Linked DNA regions of Diceros bicornis minor. The protein of the gene in region 1 binds, or shares a complex with, the protein of each later gene. Links are inferred from orthologs where the notes say so. Each region holds a gene or a part of one and is shown in the gene's direction. Other genes may lie near its edges. The genes, in order: NUP93, NUP54, CETN2 and NUP58.

What was found.
Region 2: NUP93 (region 1) and NUP54 share a complex: the UniProt entries of both Homo sapiens proteins name them as parts of the p62 complex. The link is inferred for Diceros bicornis minor from reciprocal best matches to the Homo sapiens genes NUP93 and NUP54.
Region 3: NUP93 (region 1) and CETN2 share a complex: the UniProt entries of both Homo sapiens proteins name them as parts of the nuclear pore complex. The link is inferred for Diceros bicornis minor from reciprocal best matches to the Homo sapiens genes NUP93 and CETN2.
Region 4: NUP93 (region 1) and NUP58 share a complex: the UniProt entries of both Homo sapiens proteins name them as parts of the p62 complex. The link is inferred for Diceros bicornis minor from reciprocal best matches to the Homo sapiens genes NUP93 and NUP58.

What each region holds. Positions count from the first base shown.
Region 1 is NC_080771.1:10,272,617-10,279,852, forward strand, and holds the start of NUP93 (nuclear pore complex protein Nup93), read left to right. Parts: upstream 1-4,230; 5' UTR 4,231-4,324; intron 4,325-6,094; exon of another isoform or gene 6,095-6,181; intron 6,182-7,236. UniProt on the Homo sapiens protein: Plays a role in the nuclear pore complex (NPC) assembly and/or maintenance. May anchor nucleoporins, but not NUP153 and TPR, to the NPC. During renal development, regulates podocyte migration and proliferation through SMAD4 signaling.
Region 2 is NC_080747.1:61,633,253-61,640,103, reverse strand, and holds the start of NUP54 (nucleoporin p54), read left to right. Parts: upstream 1-3,833; 5' UTR 3,834-3,956; coding exon 3,957-4,023; intron 4,024-4,648; coding exon 4,649-4,810; intron 4,811-6,851. UniProt on the Homo sapiens protein: Component of the nuclear pore complex, a complex required for the trafficking across the nuclear membrane.
Region 3 is NC_080781.1:136,968,439-136,976,002, reverse strand, and holds the start of CETN2 (centrin-2), read left to right. Parts: upstream 1-4,553; coding exon 4,554-4,613; intron 4,614-5,032; exon of another isoform or gene 5,033-5,298; intron 5,299-5,397; exon of another isoform or gene 5,398-5,493; intron 5,494-5,601; coding exon 5,602-5,781; intron 5,782-6,714; coding exon 6,715-6,873; intron 6,874-7,191; coding exon 7,192-7,320; intron 7,321-7,564. UniProt on the Homo sapiens protein: Plays a fundamental role in microtubule organizing center structure and function. Required for centriole duplication and correct spindle formation. Has a role in regulating cytokinesis and genome stability via cooperation with CALM1 and CCP110.
Region 4 is NC_080748.1:8,794,149-8,801,171, forward strand, and holds the start of NUP58 (nucleoporin p58/p45), read left to right. Parts: upstream 1-4,005; 5' UTR 4,006-4,126; coding exon 4,127-4,233; intron 4,234-7,023. UniProt on the Homo sapiens protein: Component of the nuclear pore complex, a complex required for the trafficking across the nuclear membrane.

The sequences.
Region 1 (7,236 bases):
TGAAAGTACCACCTTATATTGCACGTGAGGGCCAAGGACATTCGATTGGGAAAAGCTTAATGAATTCTGGCCTACTGACATTGTAACAAGCGTGCTAGATGAGCTGCTAAAGGATTCAAGTGATGCCTGCATCCTTCAGGATTATTTTGATTGCAAGTGACAGAAAACCCAACTGAAAGTGAGGAAAACATGCACTTTTTTTTCTCATGCAACAGAACATTCCAGGAATAGGTTTAGCTTTAGCTTGATCCAGAAACACAATATACTGGATTCTAGCCTCTCTCTACATCACTGCATTGCTCTGTTCTGTAACGGCTTTGTTCCCAAGCAAGTTCTTCCCTCATGGCTAATAAACAATCAAAGTTTTAAAAGGTTAATTTCAGGGAGTGAGAACTTCTGTGAAAACACCTTCACAGTTCTAATTCCAGTGGTAAAGAGAACAATTGTCTGAGTGGAACATCTTGAGAGTGAATTTTCTTAAGTCATAGACCCATCCCCGAATCAGCCCTGTGGCCAGGGTACTGGAGTACTCTGATTGGCTAGGCCTGAGTCACATGCCACCAATCAAAATACAGGGACTGAGAGTAGGGGAGGGGCGGGTCGGCAAAGGGGAGCCAGGGTGCTGAACAGCAGATGTCCACTAGAGACCCACTGTCCAGTAATACAGTCTAGTGTACTGGATGCCCATCCCATATACTTAACGAGTTAATCTGAAGACTAAGGATATCTGACAGTGCTCCAATTCAACCAGACAAGAGTGCAAAGATTTGCATTTTTTAACGTGACCATGCAGGCAAAAAAGGTAAAGTTATGTACTTGGCATGTACATAACACATGCAAAATCTCTGCTATATGTAAGTGCTCCACCAAAGATTTCCTTTGAAAAAAGAGTTTTATTGGTAAAGAGTGTTTGGAAACCAACAGCGCAAATTGGGGGAGTTAAGGATTCCCTGCTGCTCCCCAGATCTCTTTTAAGCAGGAAAGAACGTGCAATTCCCCGACTCGGAGAAAGCGCAAGTCTTACGGGGACCCTGGAGCACACTTCAGGACAAGCCTCAGACAATGGTGCTTGGTAAGTTCTGAGCTCAGTTAAAAAGCGATGTTGGAGAAAACTCTTCTAAACTGTATAATTAATTAATAGACAGAAACAGCTCCACAAATCACACCGATACAGACCTTGTTGTCAGGAGAAAGAAACTCTTGTTTTTGTAGCATTTGGACAAGAAGACCATTCAAGGAGTGGGGTTGGAGGTAAGTTTGGAATCCTCAAAGGAAATTCTTTGGATTATATACCTGGGTAAATATTGGGAAGCTGATGTTTGTTTTAACTCTTGTGCAAACAAAATGAAAAAACAAGTTTTAGTTATTTTTTCTGATTATAGGAGCAATGCATGGTCATTTCACTGCAGAAACTATGAAAAGTGCACTAGCTTTTCAGGGCTTGCCTGTGCTTCCAACCACCCAGGAGAGACTCTGTCCCCGTCTTATCATATTTCCTTCTCTTTTTCTCTCTCTAATGTGTATTTTTAACAAAGTTGAAGTTACAGTTATATTGTTCTGCTTTTTTCCCCTTCTTGGTCATTTTATCCTTTATTATTTAAAAATATTATTTTACACATACAAAATTATTTATATGTAATATATATGTAATAGTGATTCATAATATAACCAACACCTATGAACCAACTACCCAACCCAAGAACTAGAACATATCCAATACCTTACATCTTCCCAGGTGGTCCTCCCCATATCCCTTCCTATCCCTAGAGATAATTACAATCTGTAATTTCCTATTTATCATTCTGATGTTTTATAGTTTTATCACAAATGTATCTATGCATAAACAATATATTGTTTAGTTTTACTTGCTTTTTAATTTTATTAGGAATTTTGAGCTCATATTATACTATATAGTCTTCTGACATTTGCTTTTTCCACGTAACATTATATTTCCAAGATCCACCCATGTTGTGTTTGTAGCTGTAGCACACTCATTTTTCTTTGTTGTGTAATATGCCATTGTGATAATATCCACAATTTATCCTTTTTCTGTTAATGGACATTTGGCTTGTTTTTTTGCTATTATGAACTGTGCTGCTATGAAGATTCTTGCAAATATCTCCTGGTGCACATGTGTAAGAGTTTCTCTTGAGCATATTTCTAGGAGTAGAATTGCTGGGTTTTACGATATGGAAATATCCAGCTTTAAAAGGTAAGTGTCCTGATTTTTCATTTGGCAATGTTTCATGAATATTTGTCTATGTCATTAAAAATTCTTCTTTACATAAAAGAAAAAGCAAGGTAAAAGGATAAAACATTATGCAGATGCAAGACTATTATATTTGTGAATATTGTCTGACCACAGCAGGCTCTGAATACATATTTAATAGCTTTAGGACAAAGGCCACACCCATACATATTGTCAATCAGCACCAATAATTTATACAGAACCCACAATATGCTAGTGTGAAGTGTTCAAGATAAACAAAGCTGGACACTAAAGTGGTAAGACCATATTTTAATCAGTAATATACTATTGCAATAGGGAAGAGTCCAGCAGGAACTGAACTCAACTTGGATTTGTACAGAGGTGACTGGGTGTTTCAAAGGGAGAATGAGAGAACAGGGAAGGGGGTGAGCTACACAGAGTCAGGGAAGTGAAAAATTACAAAAAGTGAGAAGGAAATGTTGGTCCACATGAAACCATCTGGGTTTGCTAACTGGCGATTATAGAAGTTAGGCTCCTACTCTCCCACAGAGGCTGGGAGACAGGGGCCCCATCTTCAGATATTGGCCAGAACAAACAGTAAATTCTTCTGGCAGCCTAGAGTTTTCTCAGTCAGGTACTTTAAGAGGGGCTAGGGTCACCTAGGGATACGACCTTGAGCTGTTAGAAACTATGTTAGTGTTTTGTTCAAGTCTTTATAGACCATGGTTGAGGCCTAGAAGAGAAAATGGCTCAGAGGAGCCTGGCTAGAGTTCTGTCAAGGAGGGAATCTTTGTTAGAGGATAGAGGAAAGACGTGGTGAGGGTGGGCAGAGCACTGTTCCTCTCCTCTCTACCTCTGCTTACTCCATTCCCTAGACCAGGAAAAACCTTCCCTCTCTCTTTGCTAGGCTAATCGCTACTCATCCTTATGGCTCAGTTAAGGTGTCACTTCCCCCAGGGAAGGTCTCCTTGACTTCCAACCCTCCAGACTGGGTTAAACTCCCTTAGCATCCTTACATAGCTCTGTCGTGCACTTAGCACATTACACTGAAATAAAATCTGTTTATGTACTTGCTTCCTGACCTGATGATAAGGACTGGGCCTTATTCATTTTGGGACGTTGTGAGCACTAATGTATGTTGCATGAATGGACATTGTGACACTCCTGGTCCCACTATCTTTATGTGCTGGACAAAGCAGTAATCTCCTAGTGCCACTCTGCTGCCTACTCTCCATTCTCCAACTAGAGGGCTAGGAGGATCTTTTACAAAGGTAAGTCACACCTCGTGTCATACCTCTGCTTCAAACCCTCCAGTGGCTTCCATTTGCATGAAGAATAACTTCAACTTTCTTGCCATGGCCTGAAGCACCTGCAAAGTCTGGCCCCAGCCAACTGTGAGTCTTACCCCACCTGTCCTCATTCATCCTCTGCCGGCCATATGCCCCTTCTTTCTATTCTTCAAACAACAAGTTTGTTTCCCTGAGGAGCCTTCATTCCTGTTCCCTCTGCTTGGAATGTTCCACAGCCACGACTTTGCAAGACTGACCCTTTCTCATCATTCATATTTCAGTGGAGACGTTGTCACCTCCTCAGAGAGGCCTTCCCTGACCACACAGGCATTCTCTTTTCCATCACCCTGCTTTTTTCGTCTTAGCTCTCCTTACAAACTGGCAGTTATTTATTATATTTTTCCCCCCACCAGCCTGAGAACTCCATTAAGTCAGGGATCTTGTCTGTCGTGGTCGCCACTGTGCCCCCAGCGCCTAGAATAGTGCCTGGCACTGGGATGGTATTCAATAAAGGGTAAGAAATCATTGCAGGCAGTTCTGGAATCACTTTCTCCAAGCAGGGCCGACTCTAACCACGTGGGAGGGGTGAGGGCTGTGGCCTCTGGCATGCCGTGAGTGACTGCTCAGCCGCAGGCCCCGCCCCCAGCCCCGCCCTTGTCCTTGTCCTCCTCCACAGGTCTCCATAAAGTTCATTTGGCGGCGCGCCGCGCGGGGGCTTCTGGGAGCGGCCGCCTCGGCCAATCAGGAAGCGCGGGCGAGCGGCGCGAGAAGTGGCGGCGGTGTTCTCCGGCCGGGACCCCAGCGGCGGAGGCGGCTGCGGTGCCAGGTAAGGGTGAGCTGGCCGCGTCCTTCGACCCGGGACTTGCCCTTGAACCCCGGGCCCCGACGTGGGCGGAGCCGGGTCCCCACGCTCGGAGCCATGCTGCTCACACTTCCCGTTCGCCTCATGGCAGCCGGGCACGCGTGACGCCGGCGACGCGGCGCCCTGGCGAACCGCCCCCCGTTATAGCGCGGGCCGCGCCCCGGAGTGCCTTCCGTCTGCCCTCGTTCTGGGTCCGGAGCCCGGGCCTCCCGACTCCCCTCTCCCGGCGCTGGAGCGCTCTGCCGCGGCGCGCCACGCCCCCACCCTTCCCCTGCTCTGCGAGCCCACCATCCCCACCACGACCTTCTGGTTACCTGCCGACCGCGCCCTGCTGGCTCGCTCGCCCCTCGGGGGTACACCTTGTCCGGAGGTGTTGCCCTCCGAGGGAAGGGGTCTTTAGGGCGAGGGCGACGACGCTGTGAGCCTCTCCCAGCCCTTGGCCTGGCTCCTCTACCAGCATCCGGGGGAATGCTCTTCCCCATCCAGGGAGATGCTAGTGATTAGAACCCGCAGGTGGCCTGCACTTTCTCGGGCCCACAGCACCCCACCTTCTGCAAAGACAGTGCCCAAGTTTACGGGGTCTCGTTTTTTAGCGCAGGGGTCTTTGGTCAAAGTTTAGGCGACCCTTTGACAGAGCCGCTGCTCTGGGTTTGCCCCTCTGTCAGGTGTGAGGAGAGTTTTTTTTTTTTCTGTTTTGGCCGAAATGTCTTTCAGCATACGAGGGTCACCTTTAGTATTCTGTCTGGGGGCGTGAGAGGGTGTCCTTGGGCATCGTAGCTTTTCTTTCGTTCCGCTCTTCTCCTTTGTGCGTTTGTTTGGAACGTTTTCATATTTCATTCATGGTAATCTCATCGAGGCTCATAGTTTTAAATACCTACATATTAGGCTAACATCTCATATTTATATCTCCAGCCTGGCTCTCTCCCTTCACCTGCAGCCAGCTGCCTGCTTGATATCTCCACTGGGATGGTTGATGGGAACTCAAACTGACGATGTCAAGATAGGGCTAGCAAGCCCTCCCCCCCATCCCCCTTCCCAAACTGCTCTTCTTGCTGGTTTTTTCTCATCTCAGTAATATAAAAGGCTTTGGCCAATAACCTTTGAGTCATCCTTGCCCCTGCTGTCTGTCTCACTCCACCTGCAATGATTGCCGCCCTGGGCCAAGTCACCACCACCTCTCACCTGGATTATTGAAATAGTCTCCCATCTGGTGCCTTGGCCCCTCTTCAGCACAGCAGCTAGAAGGATCCTTTTAAAACACAGGTCAGATCGTATCACTCTTTTACTCAAAAAATCCTCCAATGGGTCCCTCGTTTAAAGACAAACTCTTTACAGTGAGCTATAAGGCTTTACATAATCTGACCCACTGTTACTTTCCCACTCTCCTTTTCTGCTACCCCCCCCTTCCGCATGTCAGACATGCTTCAGCCTCAGGGCCTTTGCGCCTGCAGTTCAATATCTATGTGGTTTACATCCTCACTTCTTTGAGGTTTTTAGTCAGGGGTCACCTAGTGAGGCTGTCCCCACTTCCTGCCTTCCTTTACTGCTTTAGTTGTTGTTCTTAGCACTTATATTTTACTTACGTATATTGTGTGTTGTTGGTCTTCCCCTCTAGAATGTGAAGGGGGGCTTTTTGTCTGTTTTTTTCCCTGGTGTATCCCCAGCACCTAGATCTGGAACACAGTAGGTGCTCAATAAATATGAAATAAATGCATGTTTCTGGCGCCGTTACAGGCTTGGGGATACAGTGGTGAATGAGACAGGCCTGCCCTCATTGAACCGTTGTTCCTGTGGAGGACACCACCAGCAGTAAACACACAGGTATAGAATGTAGTGTCAGGACTGTTTTTTAAAGGAGAAGGATATCAGAACAGAGACCTGGTTGAAATGAGACAGCAAGTCATGGGAATGTCTGGGGCAGGAGCATTCTGGAAGGGGAAGAGCAAGTACAAAGACCCTGAGGTGGGATCAGCTGGAGATGTAGTGAACTTGAATGTCTGAACCTGCTTCTTGATGGACTGAAGTAGAAAATAAGGTAGAGGGAAAGATGCCAAGAAGAGTGAGGAGTGAGAGCAAAGACCTGGAGGTAAGGGCCTGAGGTGTGTTCAGGGAACAGGTCGCTTTAATTCAGGAAATATTTATTTGTTACTTGTTATATGCCTCTTAGCAGCTGAGGATTCAGTGTTGAGCAGTCTGTGGGCCTTACCCTATAGGAATTCTCCATGTGCAGAGAGAGACAGATGTGGCAAGAAATCATCACAACTCTTCCACTGGAGAAGCACAGTAGTAGGTTCAGAATAGTGTGAGAGGGGTTTGAGGTAGGTGGGACTGCCCCAGCTGACTTTGCAACATACATAGGAGTCCCCCATGTGACAAGGTAGGTTTGGGTATGTGTTACAGCAGAGTGTGCACCTGCATGTGCAGGGGTATGAAGGGAGGAAACAGCATGAGGCACCCCAAGGAGTAGTGAATTGCTAGGGTATATTTGGGGGGAAGGCAGTAAGAGATGAGGATGGTAGGGGTGGCAGTGCCCGTTCTTTGGAGGGCACCCCGTGTAGCCGTGTCAAGGTGCAAGCACTTCCTCCTGTAGGGGATGGAAGGTGTCCCTGAGAGGATTAAGGCAGGGGAGCATTTCAGAAAGACCTCTCCTGCCCAGGGGAAGGTGGGTTAGAGGAATGAGAAGGCTTAGACTGTTGAGATAATCAGGCGAAAAGCATGCGAGTCAGAATAGGGGCGAGAGAGATGAGGGTTCAACTTTACAAAATGTTTGAGAGGTAGACCTGGAGATTGGCTGGATGTTAAGGAGAGGAAGGGGAGCCTGAGGTGACTCCCAGGTGGTTGCTGGCTGAATTGAGTGGGTGCTGATTGTTTTACCA
Region 2 (6,851 bases), on another chromosome or scaffold:
CTCATTTATTCAACTAATATATTTTTTATTTTTAAACGTCTATTGAGGTATAATTTACATACTATAAAAATTCACCCATTTTAAATGTACAATACAATGGTTTTTAGTAAATTTACTGAGTTGTGCGGTTTTATTATCACCTCAATAAAATCCCTCACACCATGGGGCCGGCCCAGTGGTGTAGTGGTTAAGTGCGCGCGCTCCGCTGCTGGCGGCCAGGGTTCGGATCCTGGGTGTGCACCAACACACGGCTTGTCAGGCCACGCTGTCGTGGTGTCCCACATAAAGTGGAGGTGGGCACGGATGTTAGCTCAGGGCCAGTCTTCCTCAGCAAAACAAGGGGAGGATTGGCATGGATGTTAGCTCAGGGCTGAGCTCCCTCACAAAAAAAAAAAAAAAAAAATTCCCTCATGCCAGTTTACAGTTAATCCTTATTCCCACCCCCAGCCCGAGGTAACCACTAAACCACTTTCTGTCTCTATAGATTTGCCTTTTCTGGACATTTTATATAAATAGAGTTGTACAATATGTGGTCTTTGGGCCTAGCTTCTTTCTACATTATACTTAAAAATAATGTGTTCAACCAATTTTATTGAGCAGCCACTTTATGCCAGGCACTATAAACTAGGCTACTGGTGACCAAAAAGAGACATATAGATCTTATGGTCTCGTCGGGGAAACAGACAGTAACCAAAAATCACAAATGTAAAGTCTGGTAACATGACTCTGAGTTGAGGGAAGGCTTCCCCAGTGGAGTAAGATTTGACTGAGACTGGAAAGTAGGTGTTACTTAGGCAAAGCAAAGCATTTCAGACAGAGAAAACAGGATGTGCCCAAGAGCATGTTTACAGGTGATTGAGAAAATGTTTGGCTAGAGTTCAGAGAGAGAAGAATAGTGGGAGATAAGGCTAGAGAGAAAGGCAGGGGTCAGATCAATGTTGGATCTTATTAAGCCATGTTAAAGATTTTGGTCTATTTTAAGACCAATGAGAAGCCACTGAAGTGTTGTAAATTGGGTTGGGGAGGGGGGACTGGAAGACAGGATAGGTTTGTTTAGAAAGACTCACTCTAGCTGCAGGATGAATAAACTGGAAGAGAGTCAACATGGATGCAGGAAGGTCAGTTAGGAGGCTGTTGTGTTAGGTGGGTTGGCATGTAAGATAGAGCTTATCTGGGTGTCATCCACTAGCCTCCAGGGTGAATTCCACAAAGCCACATAGCATGGGTTAAGTAATGGGTTTCATTGGGGAAAATAAAAATTTGTAGGGCCAGGACAGCTAGAAAAAAGGCACAGACCCTCCATCCTCCTGTCATCCCATGGAGAAGCAAGCCAAGGGCAAGAGCACTGTTTGGTCTCGGTAAGAAGAATGTAGCCACCTTCTAGTCCCCCTTTTTATAGGGCAAGTGTGAAGAAGCAGTCTTGTCAGAGGAGGAATACAAAAGCTGCTGAGCAACAGGCAGTTTGGATTTGGGGTGACAACAGCTTACAGAAGTTGTCCGAGAATGCTAGCTGCCTGGGGAATGTTACAATCTCCACTGCTGGGGTGAAGACGACACTGGTTTCATGGGACCTAAGCTTGGGTGCAGCCACTTCCCCTAAGAGAAAGGGGAACCCCCAGCCACAGCCAGCTCATTCTCCGGGCAACCCAGAATGACCTGCCCAGGTCATAGCCGGACAGTCCTGCTCATTGCACTGCGGGGCTACTGCAGTAGTCTAGGGAGGGGTTGGCAAACTTTTTCTGTAAAAGGCCACATAGAAAATAGTTTGGGCTTTGTAAGCCTCTCTGTCACAACTACTCAGCTCTGCACTTGTATCGTGAAAGCAGTCACAGACGACACATAAACAAATGGAGTGTCAGTTCCAGTAGAACTACATTACAAAAATGGCAGCAGTCTACATATGGCCCGTGGGCTGCTGTTTGCTGATCCCTGGTCTAGGCAAGAGATTGAGGTAATTTGAATTAGGGAGATGGCAGTGGAGATGAGGTATTTTAGAAATATTTAAAAGATAAAATATTTAGGACTTGGAGATGAATATGGGAAAGGCAAGGGAGAAGGACATGTCATGGAACTCATTCGTTCATTCCACAGTATTGGATACGGGTCTATCATGGGGGCAGGCACTTTGCTAGCACTAGGGATACAACTAGTAAATAAAACACAGTTCCCTGCCCTCGTGGAGCTTACATTAAATGGGGTGGGGGGAGGGGGGACAATAAATAGGTGGTGGTAAGTGCTAAGACAGTAGAGTAGCCAGAGTGACAGGAGTGGGATGTGCTATTTTAAAAACGGTGGTTAGGGAAGACTTCGTATCAAAGAAATATTCACCCATCCTTTTCCATCCCTGATCATTCTCCCCTTCCATCCATAATTTCTGTGATTCCGTTCTGCTGGTTCTTCTGTCTCTCCGGCCACTCTCCCTCAGGCTCCCTTGATGGCTCTCTGCTCTCTTCGTCTTAATGCTGGTGCTTGGCTGCAACCTCTTCCCACTTGATCCTCTCTCCCTGACTATCCCATTGACTCCCTGAGGTCAATTACAGCCTAAACCTGGGCCCCTCTGTTCAACCTCAGCCCTGCATATCCAAACACCTACTGCCTATCCTCAGCCAGGTTGTCCTCAAATCCAGTAAGTAAAGAAAGAACTCATTTTTTCTTGTCTTCTTCCCAAATTCCCATTACTGGGGAATGGCATCACAATCTAGCCAGCTGTACAAGCCAGAAACCAGAGACTCTTGCTAGACTTCTCCTTTCCCCTCCCCTCCACATCCCAACAATCACCAAGTCCTTTGCTCCTCAGTCTCCATGCCTGCTGTCCTCATCCGGGTATCAGCGCTCTCACTGGGACTCCTGCAATTACACTATTAGCATTATTTAATTTTGTGAATAGCTAACCCACTTACATTTTCAAAAAGCATAAAAGGAATTTAGAGTGCAAAGTCTCCCTCCACCCATCTCCTTGCCACCAATTCATCTTCCCAGAGGCATCCAATGTTATTTATTTATTTTTAATGTATCTTCCCAGGAATATTTTATACAAATATGTGTGTTTATTCATTCTAGCCCTCTTTTTTTCCCCCACCCAAATTGTAGAATACCATATACTGTGTTCTAAATGGTTTTTTGTGTAATGTTTATCTTTGAGATCTTTTCAGTACATACAGAGCTTTACTGTTCCTATTTCATGGCTGAATAGTATTCCTTTGTATAAATGCAACTATTTAAGCAAACCCTTGTTTGTTTCCAATCATTTATTATAAACAATGCTGTAACAAATAATCGTGTATTCCATCATTTTCCCAAATCATTTATAAGATAAATTCCTAGAAGTAGCATTGCTGGGTCCACGGACATTTGTAAGTTTGGCAGATACAATGGCATATTTGTTGCTTGTTTTCATTTTTATTAGTTATACAAGCACATAGATTTAAGAATCAATTCTACAAGGTTTGGTATATTAAAAAAACCTAAACAGACATCATTCTCAGAGGCACTTCTTTTAGCCTTTTTTTTTTTTTAATTTACCCTCTAGATGACACGCTGCTCCGTGAATTTTCAGTGCGAGCATTATCCACTGACTCCACTATGGAGGATGAGGATCTGGCTTTCTTTCCTCCCCTGTGTTCATTACGCGCTAGTATTCAGCCTCCCGCACACCTCTTCCAAGGGACAGGCAGTTGTCACTGGCTCTCAGGCTGCATGTCCCCGCGAGCTCCCAGCATTTCACCTCCTGACGCTCCACGCCACGTGATGCCACAAAGCCCCCGGAAGCTAGCCGGACGGGGGACGTTCCCTCTCCGCCCTCCACCCCGGACGCTTTTCGCGCGTTCAAAGGCCTCTCAGGCTAGGCCAGAAAAGAGGCGGAACTCCGTGATGCGGGGGCGGTTTCCACGCCGGATCGAAAAGCGGAGTGCACCGAGTGTCGCGGGAGCAGCGCCTCGGTCCCCTGCTCCCGCGACATGGCCTTCAACTTTGGGGCCCCCTCGGGCACCTCGGGCACCGCTGCAGCCACCGCGGCCCCCGCGGGTGAGTGAGCCTCGGATCTTCCCCCGGGGAGTGGGGAGGGCCCTGGCCCGCCCCTTCGGCCCGAGACCCTCGGGCTTGAGGCTCCGGGGGTCTCCTGCCCGCGCGGAGACTTTTTAGGGGCTTCGGAAAAGGGCGGGCCGAGCGGGCCGGGGCGGCTCCTCAGGAGGCCGCGGGGGGACTCGAGGCCCAACCCGGGGCTCGCACGCCGCGCGTGGGTCCTCGCAGAGCCCCGTCTCCGAGGGCTGGCTTCCCGGCGCCGAGGAGTCGGCCTCGGAGAGACTGCCGGCGGCCCCGCTCTCCCCTGGCCGTAGAGCCGCCCTGCCCTCCCGCCTCCTGGCCGGCGGGCACGCTCGCGGGGCTCCCGCTGCGGCGTCAGCCCCGGAGCGCGGGAGCCTTCGGCCTGGCCCCTCCGGTCCTCGCTGCGGGACTGCACGCCGCTCCCTCCTCCTGTTCCCGCCTCCTCCGCCTTCTTAACTCGTTTGGAGCAAGTCAGGGTTTGTCTTTGTTCACTTCTGTGCAACCTCCTGCTGACTCTCCTAATCCTTGTCTTGCTTTCTTTTCTCTTTCTTCTTTCCCCTCCCTCCTTTTAAAATTTTGTTTGTTTCTTTGCCTACACGCCTATCAGGATTTGGTGGGCTTGAGACTGCCAACTCCACCGCCAGTGGGTTTAATTTTGGGGGTTTCGGATTAACTGCTAATCCCGCAGTGAACTTTAATATTGGGAATTTCGGTGTTTCTACTACCTCGGCGACTCCGTTCAATTTTGGTAACAGTCTGGCAAGTGCAGGTAGATACTGCGGGTCGTATGTGTTAACGAATGTTGGGAGCTGGAGTCCAAGAATATTTTGTGGTTCCTCGAGTTTTGGAAAGAACAGCGACTTGTCTAATAAGGAAAGGAAATTCGCTTCCTGATGTCGAATCAAAAACACTTGTATCAAGTTTTGACTGTCTTAAAGGTTTTGAATTTGGTTTCTGCAAGTTATAATGTTCCTTTGTTAAATTTGCGTTTAATTGAACAGAATATACCTTCCAAGTGTAAGAATTTGGAATGGATTATTATGTTGAGTAGAATATATCTTCCAAACGATTAGCCATCTCTTCCAAAGTATAAACTCAGCAGTCAGGCCCATTTTCCTGGGATTCTTGGACTCCTGCAGTCATTTTTTCATTTTTCCTGCATCTTTCATTGCAATTTCATTTGATTGTCCTTGTGTTTCCCAAGAGAAACAAGTCTTATACGAACAGCAGTAACCTGTCTTATTTTTTAACCTGTGTAATAGTAATAGTGTATTTCTTTGGTGAACTCAGCAGTTTAGGATACATTTCCATAAGATATGTAATTATAGAAATAATCCCCAGTTCTTTATTGGATTTTTTGAGAAATGATGAGAGAGCAGTTTAATTTATTGTCAGATAGCATTGAGTTCTAAAAGGTAGGCTAGACATCTTTGCATTCAAAAATATAATTACGAAGGTTTTAATATCTATATGGATTGTTTGAAGCTTGTTGGAAATTTTGCAAAACAAACTAAAACATTAACTGTGTGTATATATATAAATTTAAAATAGCTCTATGTGTACTTTACATACAATGATCCTATATAAAAGTCTTGTTCCTCAGCTGCTCGTATATGAATTTATTGTCTGTATTCTCTTACCTTATGCCACTTATGCCCATGCCAATTTTATGCATTTGGTAAACGTTATTTATTCCCTAAAACTTACTGGGAAGTCTGATATTTTGAACAGTCATTTGTTACTGCAATGTGACTATCACCTTGGCATCTGATTTGAAAACATATTGAAAAGAATACTTGAAAATTCCAAAGATAAAATAATCCATTATTATTCAGATATATTTAAAGTGATCAGTGTCACTGTCGTGTGGTATATTTACTTTTTCCTGTTTGCTTAAAATTGGCACTGGGTAAAACAGAAACATTGTTTTGAAATTTGTGTTTCCGAACAAAGCCACCCAGCTCGTAATTAAACAACAATAAATAAACCTGTTGGTATTTGCTTGATTTCATGTTCATTTGGAGTTATTACTGTTAAGTTTTGACTTGTAATAATATAACTGTGTTTTAACTACTTTTATATATGTTCATTAACTTAGCCTTCAGCAAAGGGCTGATAGAAATTCTTGTTTATTTTTTAATTTTGTATCCTTGCAGATCCGCTATTACTAGTAAAGGTTTTTGATACGATGGAGCATGATAAGATACTGACTAGTGTTTTTATCGTGTAGCGAAATTCAGAATATATCTTAGTTTTTCTGTGAAAATGAGGAGTAATGAAAAAGATTGAGAATAGTGTTCAGTACTTCAGATGATTTTATCAAAATGTTTACAGTTTGCAGTACTGCAATAGAACCTACAAGTAAATAGAGTATTTGGTTGTGCCTGCATGCAACATATAGTCTATTCTTGAGTAATTTTCCAAATCAGAAGTATATGACTATCAAAGGGTTGTTTTTCTTTCCTTCTTCTTTTATGTTACAATATTGATGAATCTCTGTCTCTTATACCAGAAATATATGAGATTAAAAGTTAGAACCCCAGAAACCTGCGGCATAACTCAGAGAGCACTAATGGTTCAAACATTTGTCTTAAAAGTCTTTTTGGCTCCACATTAATAATCAGGTAAAGATTGACAATAAGGAAAAAAACATAAAACAATTTTAGATTGATAGACTAGCATTCATTCCATTCATAAGTCAAGTTAGATATGGTTGAGAATAATTTCATCTCTAGACTTACCTCAAAATGAAATTTGTGTATCTGTCAGAGTTGCCAAACTGTGAGGCAGAGGCCTGTGATGGCTCTGCT
Region 3 (7,564 bases), on another chromosome or scaffold:
AGGCAGACAGCCAGCACTGGGGTCTCAAACACTGTGACCGCTCCAACCCAATTCCACACCTCGAGTTACACACACACAGTCATGTGTCCTTGTAGGAACCAAAATGGCCTTGAAACAGACGTCCTCAATGTCTGATGGGGCAATTTTGGGGAAACATATTTCTGAAACCATAATGGAAGCTATCAGGAAATATATTTCAAAACTTCTTTTCATAGACCTTTTCAGAATGCATATAATGAATAAGCAAAGTTGACCTGGAGTTCTATGCCTATCCCCTCCCTCTCTCTATCCCATAATCCTCCTTGTGTTGACAGGGGGCCCTGTCATCTGTTCACCCTAAACAGATGTGACTGGTGAGCTCTGACTCACTGGGCTCAGTGTGTACCAGCTGGGGAACAAGAATTTCGGCACTTGCACCGAGGTCCAGCAAACAGAGTGCGCTAGCAGTTCTGTCTGCCTTGTTCACCACTGTATCTCATCATGAACACAGTGCCTGGCACAAACTGAGCACCCACATCTCCACTGGCCCCATGAGTACATGGCGTGTGCACATGCCAGGCAGACTCCCTTCTGCTCTCCACCACATACACACAGACGCCTGCCTAAGATGCTACATTCATGAATACCCACTGCCGGCTTCTCACTCAATTTCTCCAGATACTCAGGGAAGCATGATGAAATGAGAGGGCAGACAGCATTTGGAGTGATGCAGTCACAAGCCAAGGACACCCTGACTTCAGACTTCTGGTCTCCAGAACTGTAAGAGGATAAGTTTCTGTTGTTTTTAGCTACCAAGTTTGTGGTCATTTGTTACAGCAGTCACATGAAATCAACACAAGTTTTCTTTGCAGTCCTGAACTCCAAATAGCACAGCTGCCACTTCCATAGCCCCCCTGTACTAGTAGAAAAGCAAGAAGCCTTAAAGCCTGCTCTCCGCAGTCTCTCGGGGATGATCCGGGAGGTGAAAGAAGAACCCATCCTGCCCCTGTGGATCCATACTGTTCAAACAATGCTCACGCGATCCTCAGCAAAGCAGCCTCTTGTAAGAACAAAATCAAATCTGCTTTATCTCGAGTTATACACACATTGTAGTAAAGTTTGTAAATACTATAAGCCAGATAAGAATTTTGGTGATACTTAGCCATCTCTAAGGAATAAGGCAGATCCCACTGGCACCCCTCAACCTAAATCCCCCATGTGCTACACGGTAGGGATAAAATGCACATCAAGAAGAGCTCTGATTGAATAGACATTTCTCCAAAAAATATATACTTTACACATGGCCAACGAGCACATGAAAAGATGCTTAACATCACTAATCATTAGGGAAATGTAAATCAAAACCACAATGAGATATCACTTCATACCCATTAGGATGGCTATTATCAAAAAAACCCAGAAAATAGAAAATAACAAGTGTTGACAAGGATATAGAGAAACTGGAACCCTTGTTCACTGCTGGTGGGAATGTAGAATGGTGCAGCTGCTGTGGGAAACAGTACGGTGGTCCCTCAAAAAATTAAATATAGAATAATCATAGGATCAAACAATCCACCAAACAATATCCCCCAAAATTGAAAGCAAGGATTTGAACAGATATTTTTACACCCATGTTCACGGCAGCACTATTCACAGAAGCCAAAAGGTGGAAGCAACCCAAGTGTCCATCGACGGATGAATGGATAAGATGTGGTATACACACACACACACACACACACACACACACACACACACAATGGAATACTACTTAGCCATAAAAAAGATGAAATCATACCATTTGTGACAACATAGATAGACCTTGAGGATATTATGCTAAGCAAAATAAGTCAGATGGAGAAGGTCAAACACTGTATGATTTCATTCATACATGGAAGATAAACAAACACATAGATAAGGAGAATAGATTGGTGGTTACCAGAGGGTAAGGTGGTGGGGGGAGGGTGAAAAGGGTAAAGGGACATAAATGTATGGGTGACAGATGGAGATCAGACTTGGTGGTGAACACGATGCAATCTATACAGAAGCTGAAATATAATGATGTACACAATGTTATAAACCAATGTGACCTCAATAAAATAATAAAAAGTAAAAAAAAAGCAAATGTGGTATATACATATAATAGAATACTATTCAGCCTCAAAAAAGAAGGGAATTCTGCAATATGCAACAGCATGGATGAACCTCAAGGACATTATGTTTAGTGAAATAAGAACCTTGGGGACATTATGCTAAGTGGAAGAAGCCAGTCATGAAAGGACAGATACTGTATGATTTCACTTGTATGAGGTCCCTAGAGTAGTCAACTGAGAGACAGAATGTAGGATGGTGGGTCCCAGGGGCTGGGGGAGAGGGAGGAGGAGTTAGTGTTTAGCAGGTATAGAGTTTCAGTTCTACAAGATGAAAGAGTTTTGGGGATGGATGCACAGCAATGTAATTGTACTTGACGCCCCTGAACTGTATACCTACAAATGGTTCAGATGGTCAATTTTCAGTTCTGTCTATTTTACCACACATACACACATAGCTCTGAATGGGAAAATAAGACCTCAAAGAGCATGTTCTAGGGGCTGGGATCGTTAAGGTTCACACATCGGAAGCCTCAAGTCTTTTTCCTTTAAAACAGTAGGTCTTTGAATCCATTAGAAACCAGTATGTACGCCCTCTATACACACTGGGACAAAGTCTTAGGCTAAAAATGACCTAGGAAAAGAGACCCACATTCTAATGGTGAAATCCAAGTGCCTCGCTCAACTTCTGGGCAAGGGGAAGAGGGCTGCTGATAGGATTCGATGAATAGAGAAGTGAGTGAGCCCAACTCCTCCTTCCTGCTGGGGAAAGTTCCCTGCCACTGAGTCCTGGAGACAAAAGGAAGGGATAGTCTGTCCATTTCAAACCAGATATATATAGAGAGAGACACTCAAGTGTTCTCTTCTTCAAAAACATGGGAGATCAGCCTCTTTGTAAATGGAAATGCAGAGCAATTCAGAGGGGTGTGTTGGGGTAGCTGGGGCCCTGCCTGCTGCCTTCCATGGAGTCAGTGCGGGAAGCTAAAATGTGGCTACTGCAAGCTCATCACTTTAGTCCATGGACAGACAACATCTGCCTGTGCAAGAAAAATGCAAAGAGGACTTAAGACAAAACGCACTTCCCCCAGGACTCAATCAGCTCAACCTTGTCTTTTCATGGACCTGTGGGCCTCTCTGCTTGTCTGTTTACTTTTAGGACACAGAAAGGCCCTGGCTTTGAATTTGTGCTGGCCACTGAGAAACTCATCAGCATCCTGCGAGCTTTAGCTAATGCTGTTCCCTCTGCCTGGAATATCTTCCCCTCCTCTCCATGGTGAGTTTCTCCTCATCCTTCAAGGCCTAGCTCAACTGTCACCTCTGTGAGACCTCGTCCCCCTCCCCAGGCAAGGTTAGCTGCCTCCTTAGCACTCATTTCTGCTCCCATTCTGACACTTAGCACGCTGGTTTATACTTTTTTTCCACGTCTGTCTTGGCTCACTAGGCTGTGAGGGCCAGCAAAGAGCCTGGAACGGAGTACAGGTTGAATTGTGCTGCTGCAGCTGGCCTAAGAGGCCTCATCTGTAGAGCAGCAATCCTTCCTGCTGACCTCACAGCCGCTGTAGGGCTCAAACAAGAGACGTCCAGTGACTTTCCCAAAGTCACACAGCTGGTACACGGTCAAGGCAGAATTTGTGGTTGTTCCTTCTACTCTGGCAGGATGCCACCCCGCAGACTGACTGGGAAGTAGGGTGTGAAGGGACATGATGTTAGAAGGACTAGGAGGGGCAAAACTGGGTAGAAGGCTCAGATGCCAGGCTGAGTGTGGACTTTATTCTGCAGTCACGGGAAGCCTCTGAAGGTTTCAGAGCATGGGGGTGACCTCAGCAGAGCTGTGAGAAGCAGGAAACAGGGGGCCTACTTGCCAGTTGCTCAGCAGAGATTTACCAAGCACCCACCATGTGCCCCTCCCTACTCCAGGTACTGGAGGGCCAGCCATGAACAAAACAGAGCTGCCTGCTCTCCTGGAGCTCACCTCCTAGTGGATGGGTAATAAAGAACAAAATAAAGAAGTAAAATACACAGTAGGTTAGAAGGTGATACATACTATGGGAAAAGAGTAGAGCAAGGTGCAGGGCTTGGGGGTACTGGGGGCTGCAGTGCTAAATAGGGTGCTTAGGGTGGCTCACTGAGAAGGTGACAGTTGAGCAAAGACCTGGGGGAGGGAAAGAAGTGAACCAGTAGGCAGAAGGAACAGTAAGAGCAAAAGTTCTAAGGTAGGAAGGAGCCTGTGCATTTGAGGCCAGCAAGGAAGTGTCCCGGGGCCATAGCGAGCCAGAGGAGGAGTGGGGGTGGAGGGAGTCATGCCAAACCTTGCAGACCATGGTGAGAACTCTGGCTTCTGCTAGGTGGGAGGCTGCTGCTGAAGGCCTGAATTGGAAGAGGAGCCACAGAGGTGGAAAAGAGAAAAGAAATGGCATTCGAGGGGGAGAACTGATAGAACTTGGAGGCTGGTTAATGGGGACGGGACAGGAAAAGAAAGAGTCAAATATGACCAAAAGGTTTTCGACCTGGTTCATGCTCAAAGGGGAAGAGGGCAAAGGGCAGAAGGTCAGTGAACACTTTAATTTAACGGACACTAATAAATCTCAGGCTTTTCTCAGCCTGAGAAACTTATGCTCTGTCCCCTGCCTCCCTAAATGCTGCCCCAATGCCCAGAGGAGATGCAGGTAAGGGCTGAGAGCCACGGAGCGCTCCTACACTGCGCTGGCTGAGGAGGGCAACCCTGGACCTCCAGCTCCACTGCTGCAGCTCCATTTCAGCCACACCCTTGCACATGCCCCCTTGTAGTTCTCCAAGCACGCCTCACACTTCCAAAACTCCTCAGGGTGTCTCGACCTGGAATGCTCCTCCCTATCCGCCTTGAGTGTTTGGGTGTCAAAAAGAGTATATCTTGATGACTTCTCCCCCTCATGCTCGCTCATATTTCCTTCACTCTCTTCAAAGTCCGTTCCCCGCTCCCAGCTCACCTGCCTGGGCTGCTTTTAGCCAGGTGAGAACTAAAGTGATCCTCTCTTGGAATCTGGTCTGGGGGACAGGGCTGCTTTCGAAGAGACACCCTCAAAGATCCTCTGCTGGATTCAGCTTCTAAGTCCCAGCCGTCTGAACCTCTGCGACAATGCTCGGCCTGCCCCTTTCCTTCTCTGGATCTCAGTTGCTCCGTCAGTACAGTTTCCACTCCAACACCCAAGGTCAGGGTCTTCTCTGGCCCCTCTGACCCTAATTCTTAGGCCGGACCAGAAAGCACCCGACCCGGATCGTCCACCCAGCCCCTGGCCCTCCCGCCCTGTCGCCGACTCAAGGCAGCCTCCAAGAGCGAGGTGGCAACCCTTACTTGTCCGAAGGCGCCCTCCTGGCCGGCCTCAGACAGCACGCCCGCAGACAGCACCCACACACCTCCAGCCGCCGGCGACCACCCTTTTCGCTCTGCCGCATGAGCTGAGGATCAGCCGAGCCTCCTCCACTAAGGGGATTGGCTCGGCTTGGAGCAGGCTCAGCCAATCGGCGCTCGCGGCATGATCCTGCCCAATGAGGCCAGGTCTTGGCCGCGAGCGCACCGCCCCCCGCCCCGGCCCTGGCCTTTGTCGGGTTAGCCCCACCCACTCCAGCCCTGCGCCAATGGGGAGCGGGGGCCGCGCGCGCGGGACAGTGGGATCGGCGCCGAGTCAGTGTGTACGTCGGTTGCCGTAACAACAGGCAGCGGAGTCGGTCGGAGATGGTGAGTGCCGGCAGCCCTGTCGCGCCTGGCGGGCAGAGGCTGAGCCCTTCCTAGGCCTCGGCCTGGCCCCGCTGCCTTTGCTGCGCCGTTCTTGGCTTTGGCGCGGCCCTCCTTCCTCTGAACTCTTTCCCGGAAGAGTAGGGTAGAGACGCCCGGCGCCCTGCTGGGCCTGTGATTCGCCGCTGCCTCCCCTTCACCCACAGCCGGCCTCAACCCGCCTCTTGGGCTCCCCTGGCCTTCCCCGGCCCCCTCGGTGACCGTCAGTGGGCAAAGAAGACTCGGATTCCCCGCAGGTCTCAACGCTTCTCAGACGCTGGCCTCCTGGCCGCCTCGCTCTACCAAAGTTTCCGCACAGAGCTGGGGGGAGGTTTATTATGTTTGATTGTTAACGTGCATTTTACAATGTAAATATAGGGACATTTGCGAGACGCTTTGAGCTTCTTGGAGAAGGCACAAATGTACCGAGTGGATTGAGTTTTATTATTCGATATTGACAGGCTATACATCTTAACTTAGTAATATTTGGCCAAATCTGGAAGTAATCAGAAAGTACTTAGAGGGAACTGGAGTACCGCAAGTGGGTGTTGTAAGGACGTTTCTATAATTAGGATCCCCCAATTCAAGGAGAGCTGATCATCTGTACAGTTATCCACAGTCAGCTCCTTGGCTAGCTCTCTTTGGGGGTGATTTTCAACAAGAGATATCCAAAAGAACAATTCTTGGAAACCATAGTAAAGAAGAGAGAGGGATAGAGGTGCATGGAAAGACTCATTATTCTTTCCAGTAAACTCTATTATCTCTTCTGCTAAGCAAAGCTTTGGAATTGGTTGGTATAAACTATTTTTAAAATAGATATGGTTGTCTGTAACTTTTATGTAAAGTATGGACTAAATTGCATAATATTGTGCTTATGTGTTTGTAAAATGTCTGAAGGCCTCCAGCTTTAAGAAGGCAAACATGGCATCAACTGCCCAGCGAAAAAGGATGAGTCCTAAGCCAGAGCTTACTGAAGAGCAGAAACAGGAAATCCGAGAAGCTTTTGATCTCTTCGATGCTGATGGAACTGGGACTATAGATGTTAAGGAACTTAAGGCAAGCCCTGTGCATTCCTGCTCTGCTGCCTTGCCTTTCCTCTGCCTCTTTATCTTCTTTCCGCTCTACCCCTTTTGCCCTCTTCTCCCTCCAAAAAATAACAGGGGAGGATGCACTGTGCTCTGTTTTCCTGTTTTTACTTACTTCAAGTATTATTAAATAAAATTGAGCACAAATATCGATTTGCTTAATGTTATAGTGTTTCCTAATCATTTTAACATGATTGTGTCTGATGCTGGCTCAATAGTCTCAATGCTGTCATTTTTTGTCCCTCTAGGTTTAGATGTGCTTATTGAGATGATCCTGTTTTCGTTGTAGGTGGCAATGAGGGCACTGGGATTTGAACCCAAGAAAGAGGAGATCAAGAAAATGATCAGCGAAATTGATAAGGAAGGGACAGGAAAAATGAACTTTAGTGACTTTTTGACTGTGATGACTCAGAAAATGGTAAGTTAGCTAAAATAATCAGCATATTTTCCACCCATAATGCTGCATACATTTGAATCATGTAAGTGTCTTCACTGAAGAAAAGTTAATACAAACTGGAGAGTTCAGCTGATAAAGGATAGTATTTGTAACTGAAAATTAGGATGCTTCGGTTCTACTTAGCTTTCTTCAAGGCCACAAAGTCACAAGAAAAGTCATTTTACCCTTTGTAAAGTAGTAAAAGTACTACTGCTGTCATTTTTTG
Region 4 (7,023 bases), on another chromosome or scaffold:
CCAGCCATGTGTCTAAGTTTCAGGCAGCAGGAAAGAAGAAGGAAGAGAAAAGCCAAAGGGATGTATGCCAGGAAGTCTCATCTCACGTCTCACATTTACATCTAATCGGCCACATTTACCTGTAAAGGAAGTTGGGATATGTAGTTGTTTATCTGGTTAGTGTGCTACCTTGAAGAAAATTGGGATTTTTTTTTAAGGAAAAAGGGAGGAGTTAAAAATGGTGGCAACAAGAGAGCTTCCCTCCTTTATTTTATGCTGACATTGCCAAGTTTCTTTTCCTGATCTTCTCCTTATCCATTATCGTTATCAGGTCATGAAAGCAACTATTCATGTCTCATCCCCCACACTCACCAACAGGAAGGACATAATTTCAAAATAAATGACCACACTTTGACTTAAATATATTTAGTTTCATGGAAAACTCCCTATACTGCTTTCACTTTTCTCATTTCTTGGAGGAAACAGATCATTACTCTTCTGATCTGCTGGAAGATCAAAAGTTGGAAACACGTTTTAGCGTTAAGCTTTCTCCCTCTAACGTTTATTTTGGAAAATTTCAAAACTACAGAAAAGTTGAAAGAGTAGTACAATGAACACTCATATACCTTGCTTGTAGAGTCACAAATTGTTAACATTTTGTGACACTTTCATTATTGATCTATCTCTTTATAAATTTTGCTGTTGGATCTTTTGAAAATTTAATAGGATTTTAAGAGGAAGGACACTATCTAAATCTTTAAAGTCAATAGACTCCCTTCTGAGAATACATTCAAGATAGAGGGAAATTGGTTATATATATAGTCTCTAAAAGATAACTTCTCTCTTGGATATTTCAGAGGATCAGATCATACACATTACAGATCCCTTTAAACAGACTTGAAATTCCCACTTCCTTTCTGTTTTAGAACCTCTCGACAGATACTTCTCAAAGGGTTGTCCCAATCTGAACACACCACTGAAGCAAGCCTATTTAGATATTTCAATGCAAACTCAAATTAGAATCTTTTTACAGTGCTATTGCTTTTCAGATAATTCAGTTTGATTATGACATTAGCAATGTCATCATACAGCCGGTAAATCAGCAAAGGATGGGGTTTCTTAACAGAATTCTCACAACGTAAAAAACAAAGAGAAGCAAAGTGGCTTGCCATAGAATTTAGGATCTGAATCACTTGCTTCATTCTTGGAAAGCAGTAATTCACATAGAATTGATACACAGTTCAGGTCCCATAATCTTGAAGAGGAATATTTGGACCATCTTTTGGAATAGGATGTGTTACTCTCACTAGGTACGGAAGGTTAAGCGAAATTCCAGTGCTTCGTTGTTTTGCCTGTCTGAGTAGGCTTTAGGCTTACACAGGCATAAAGCTTATGTTATTGCCATTTTACTCTCAATTTTTCAATTGAATAACCAAATAATTTGGCTTATAGAAACTGCTTTCTTTGGAGTTTTATTTCTGTAGAACATAAGGACGTAAAGTGTTTTATTTTCTTTTCTTTTTGCTAACAGGACAAACAGAAGAAGGCAGAAAAGATGAGAAAGGGTCTTCGAGGTTCAGTCTTACACTTGGTGCATCTAGAGGCACATGGTAGATTGTACTACTGTTCAGCAAATATTCCAGTTTCTATCTCTGCAGCGCTTCTCTCTGTGGGATTTTTGGGGTTACTGCAGCATAACTTAAACTACTCTGCCAGATATAAGACAGAAGTGCCATTAAAAGACATAGGGAGCCACTTTCTATCTTCCTACCAAAATCATCTGGATCCACCTTTTTTTCCAGTCAAAAGTACCCTAGACTTTATATCTCCCGTCCTCTTATTGACTATCCTACAGTCGTCACTGATAATAGCATTCTCTCCGTCATTGAGGCTCTAAAACCCACATTATTTTATTTTTATCTTCCTGTTCAATCATTGTGAATTTTTTCTTTATAATATAGTTCAAATATGTCCCTTTTCTTTTTTGTTTTATCATTCCCATAGTGACCAACATAATATTTAAAATGCCATTTAATTTTTTAATTATACAAACACAGAGGTGGTTTATTAGTCTGCTCAGGCTGCCATAACAAAACACCACAAACTGAGTGGCTTAAACCACAGAGATTTATTTCTCACAGTTCTGCAGGCTAAGTCCAAGATCAAGGTTCCCACAGGCTCTCTTCCCAGTTTAAATAAGGCTGCCTTTAGGCTGTGTCCTCAGAGGTGGAGAAAGAAGGAAAGTGAGTTCTCTTGAGTCTCTTCTTATAAGGGAACTAATCCCATCAAGCCCCGCCCCCCCATGACCTCATCTAAACCTAATTACCTCCCAAAGGCCCCATCTCCAAGCACCATCACATTGCGGGTTACGGCTTCAACATAGGAAATTTTGGAGAGATGCAATTCAGTCCATAGCAGATGGCAACGCCCAAGCTCAACACAGGAGAAAGTGCTGCATTGAGAGGAGTTGTGAGATGTGAGGTTAGAAAGATTGGTCATATAGAGGACATTGAGTGCCAGGGTAAGGAACCACTCAGTTTTTGATCAAGGCAGTGTTGTGGTGAGAATTATGTTTTAGGAGAGAAAATCTGGTGACTGCTTATGGCATGAATTTTATTGGAAAAAACCGCAGGTAAGAAAACCATTTCCGAGAGTAATGTAACAATTCTTGATGGAAAAATGAAGACCCACATTACGATGGCAGCACCTCCAATGCACCACCGCCAGGAAACCTGTCCTGATCCTTTTGCCAGAGGGAATTGCTTCTTCAAACCCACATTTTTCTTATGTTTAAAGGTCGCTCATAGCAATCTTATATTTCGCCTTATATTCTACTTTTTTCTGTACTTTTTTTTTATCCCTTCCACTTTGCAGTTCCTCTAGTAGGTAGCACAGAGGCGACTGAGCGCTGCAAAGCCGGAGGCAGCCATCCAGGCGGAGCCCCAGAGCAAAGGCCCCAGGTCCGACACTTAACACTGCAGGATACGCTGACACTACCTGTGGACTGGACAACACCCTTTGACATCCAGGGGCTTGGCCAGTTCTGTTTGCTCAGCACCACTAACAGGACTGGCCACTCCACCCACGAAAGGACGCTCTTCTGAGCCCCCTTGGTGGCCGCCACATGAGGCTCGCAATGACTGCCCCTCACCGGCTCCGCACCCACGGAGCGCTGACGTGCTGCTCACGTCCTGGGACGGATGAGTGAACTCAAGGCATACCTCGGAGATACTGTGGTCGCTTCCACACCACAGCCGTCAAGTGAGTATCACAATAAAGCGCATCACACGAATATTTTGGTTTCCTAGTGCATGTAAAAGTTACGTTTACATTATACTAGAGTCTATTAAGTGTGCAATAGCATTACGTCTAAAAAACAATGTACATACCTTAATTGAAAACTACTTTATTGCTAACAAAAGCTAACCATCATCTGAGCCTTCAGCGAGTCACAATCCTTTTGCTAGCGGAGAGTCTTGTGAAAAACGCAGTATGTGCGAAGCTCAACAAAGCAAAGCACAACAAAACGAGTATGCCGTACTATCGATCGCTTTCCAAACCGTCAGGAACAGACACGCTCAGTCCTTCCTGGGGAACGGGTGGCACCCAACGAAAGACTGGAATCGCCCCCTTTTCTGAAAGAGGGGCTTGGACTGCTCAATAGCGCCTGCCCAACTCTGGGATTCTGCGCGTCCTTTTTTGGTAGTAAAAAAGGATATGAGCAACAGTCAAGAGTCAACGGCCATAAAGTACAAAACACCGTAGCACAGGCGCCGAGAGAAACGGCTTCGTTGGGTTTTAACCAGGCGCCCTCCCCTTAACAGAGTAGGCGGTGGCCCGACCCCACCTCTCCCAGGCTGCCTTGCGCGGCGCGCCGACCCCATCCCCGTCCCAGGGTTCCCTGCGCGGCGGGCTCGCTCCCGTGGGCTACGTGCGCGCGGCGGGCTCGCTCCCGTGGGCTACGTGCGCGCGGCGGGCGCCGGAACTCCACCCACCTGGGCCTGGTCTTGGCGGCCGCTGGGGCTGGAAGTTCCCGCCAGGCCCGGGCTGGGGGCGGGCGATGCTGCCTGGCCTGCCCCGGCTTTGAGGCGGGAGGAGCGTCCCAGACAACTTTCACCTTGCCGACCGCGCGGAGCCCCGGGCAGCCATGTCCACGGGGTTCTCCTTCGGGACCGGCACACTGGGCTCCACCACCGTGGCCGCCGGCGGGACCAGCACTGGCGGCGGTTTCTCCTTCGGGACAGGCGCGTCTAGGTAACCGCGCTTCCTCGCCTTTCCGGCCCGGGTCCTCTCCCGGGGCTCCCGGAGTGGGGAGGGGTCCCTCCTCTCTCTCTTCTCGCTGTCTCCTTCCTGGTGGGCCTGGAGAAGAAGCCTTGCCCGGCGCCAGCTTCGTAGGCGTCCCGCTCGCCGCCCTGCGCGGGCCCTCCCGGCGGCCTGGTGGGAGGAGGGCGATGGTCTGTGTGTGGTGAGGACCCCAGAACCTACGATGGTGCGGACGTTGTTCCTACCGAGCGAGGTCTGGCGGGGTGAAAGGGCCTGGATTGCACCTCTTGAGCCCTGGCGATGCGTCAGTCTTAGGCATAGAATGAATGTTGAACGAATGAATGAGACCATAGCTTATTGTGACTAAAAGACAATTAGTAGAAAATTTTAAGCAAGACAATTAAAAATTTCTCCCTGATAATTCAGATTCCAGTGCAGGTTTACGGTTTTGGACATTACAGGGCTTTAATGATTTCATGGTTATTTTAAACAAGCTTTCAAGTCTTTCTGCCTCGTGGGACCCTGTCTGTCCTTTTTTTGGTTTGTTTTAAATACTTTCTACAGTATTGGTGATAATTTTGAATAGTATAGTATGTGCAAATGAGTATATCATAAGTGAGAATGTTGTGTTGTAATGACTCACATTGTCTTTTACTTAAATTGCAAGACGTAGGTAACATATTCATCGTTTTTGTGCAACTTGCTACACCACCACTTCAGGTGGTGACAAAAATTTGGGTAGCAGAGGTCCAGAAAGAGGCAATTAAAATAGTTAGAGATCATTCTAATTATGAGACATTTGATCTTTAGAACTCAGTCTTTTGAGGATAAAACTGGAGGAGTTCATTAAATCAGGAAATGTACATAGAATGAGTTACAAGATACCTTCTGAAGCTTGAAGAATGTGGTTGTAGATTAAAAAGGCAAAAATACCTTCAGCATTGTCTGTATTAAAAGGGGTGGGGGGGTCACAGACTACACAGTCAAGTCAGAAATCTGAGAGTTTTCTGCGTAGTCAAGTCAGAAATCTGAGAGTTTTCCTTAATACCTCCGTTTCTCTCTACACACTTACTCAGCAAGGGCTGATAGTTTTAATTCTTCAGTTTCCATTTGCTTCATTTCCAGTGCTACTACCCTGTTGCAAGCTCTTATTTTTCATGGAACAAATATTTATTGCACTCCTATGTAGTAAGCTCTGTTTTACAGGGTAAGATAAATAAGAGTCCTACTCTCTTGAGGCTGACATTCTTACAAAAATACTTATGATCACTGCCAGGTGTTTAACCAGTAACCTTTCTCCTGTTTGAGGAAAACTTCTCCCACCATATCTTACTTGGATTAATTCAACGGAATCCCAATTGCTGTCTCAAAAATCTACTTTTAGGTCAATCTTTTTACCACATTGTAACCAGAGTGACTTTTTAATTCCCTTTGCCTCTCTTCAGTGATTTTCCACTATCACTGAAATGAAGTAAAAATAAATCTTACCATGATCCGCAAGATCTAAATAACCTGGAACCTCTTCAAACTCATCCTGAGTCTTTTGGGGGAAAAAAAAATAAATAACATTTACATTAACACCCAGTAGAGGCACACAAATAAGTAACTGAAACAAAGTTTCAAAGAAAGATAGTTACCGTTGCTTCGTGTGATGTCGTTTGATATTTTCTATTCTGTTCCATTTCATTTTTTTAAATGCTGGTTGTGATCTGCTAAATTGATTTTATACTCCTCTGATGAGTCCTGATCTTAGTTTAAAAAACCGTGCTCTAGCAACTTGGGCTTTTTCTCAGTTCCCCAGGTGGGCTTGGCCAAACCTCTTCCCACTTTAAGGCAATTCGTTTTGGCTTGGAATTTCCTTACTACTACCTGACCTGTATGCCAAGCTGATGCCTACTTTGGGGACACTAATGGTTGCTTCAGAGGGGTCTTTTCTGAGCTGTCAGTCTAGAGGAGGTCTCCATCCTCATAGTACTCTGTACCATAGCACTTATTACTGTAATCAGTTCGCTGTATTTTTTGTTGACTTGTTTATTGTCTGATCCCAGCAATAGAATGTAAGCTCCATGGTGGTGGAGGCCTTTTCCTACTGTTTTTCTAGTTGACAGAGTGGAGCTCAATACGTATTTGTTGAATGAATGAATGATTAATTAATCTCTTTCTCTCACTGACTAGAAACCTCCTGAGGGCAGGGCGTGAGTCTTATTTGCTACTCCATCATCAGTCCCTATGACAATACCTGGCATATGAAAAGGGCTTTAATAAATACTTGTAGAGTGACTGAGTAAATGAATTATTAGTAGTAAACTAGAACTTTACACAGGCTTTTGAAAGGCTTGGATAAACTGATAGAAGGAGAGATAGTCTAACATCTGTCCGTTGGAGTTCTGGTTTGGAGGCCTGACTTCCCTTAGCGTCATCTGGTGATTTGGTCCCTTTAGGTAAATCATTTTGGAGAAGTTACTTTCCAAGCCTCAATTGCCGCATCTGGAAAAGGGGTATAAAGCATTTACCTCAGAGAGTGATTGAATGAGATAAAGCGCGTAAAGTATTTAGCATCACATTTGGCACTTAGTAAGTGCTCAATAAATGTTAGCTATTCTGTTAGTTACTAAGTCCACATAAGGCAAGCTGGGGAAGTTAAAATAACATGCCTGACCTGCTGGAGTCCACTTGGCTTTTCTACAAGACATCCTGTTGAGGCATTGGCAGGTAATACTGGGTTGAGGCAATAATTGGTCAGGTCTGGGGTAGCTTTTGTTTTTGTTAAAGTAAGTAAAT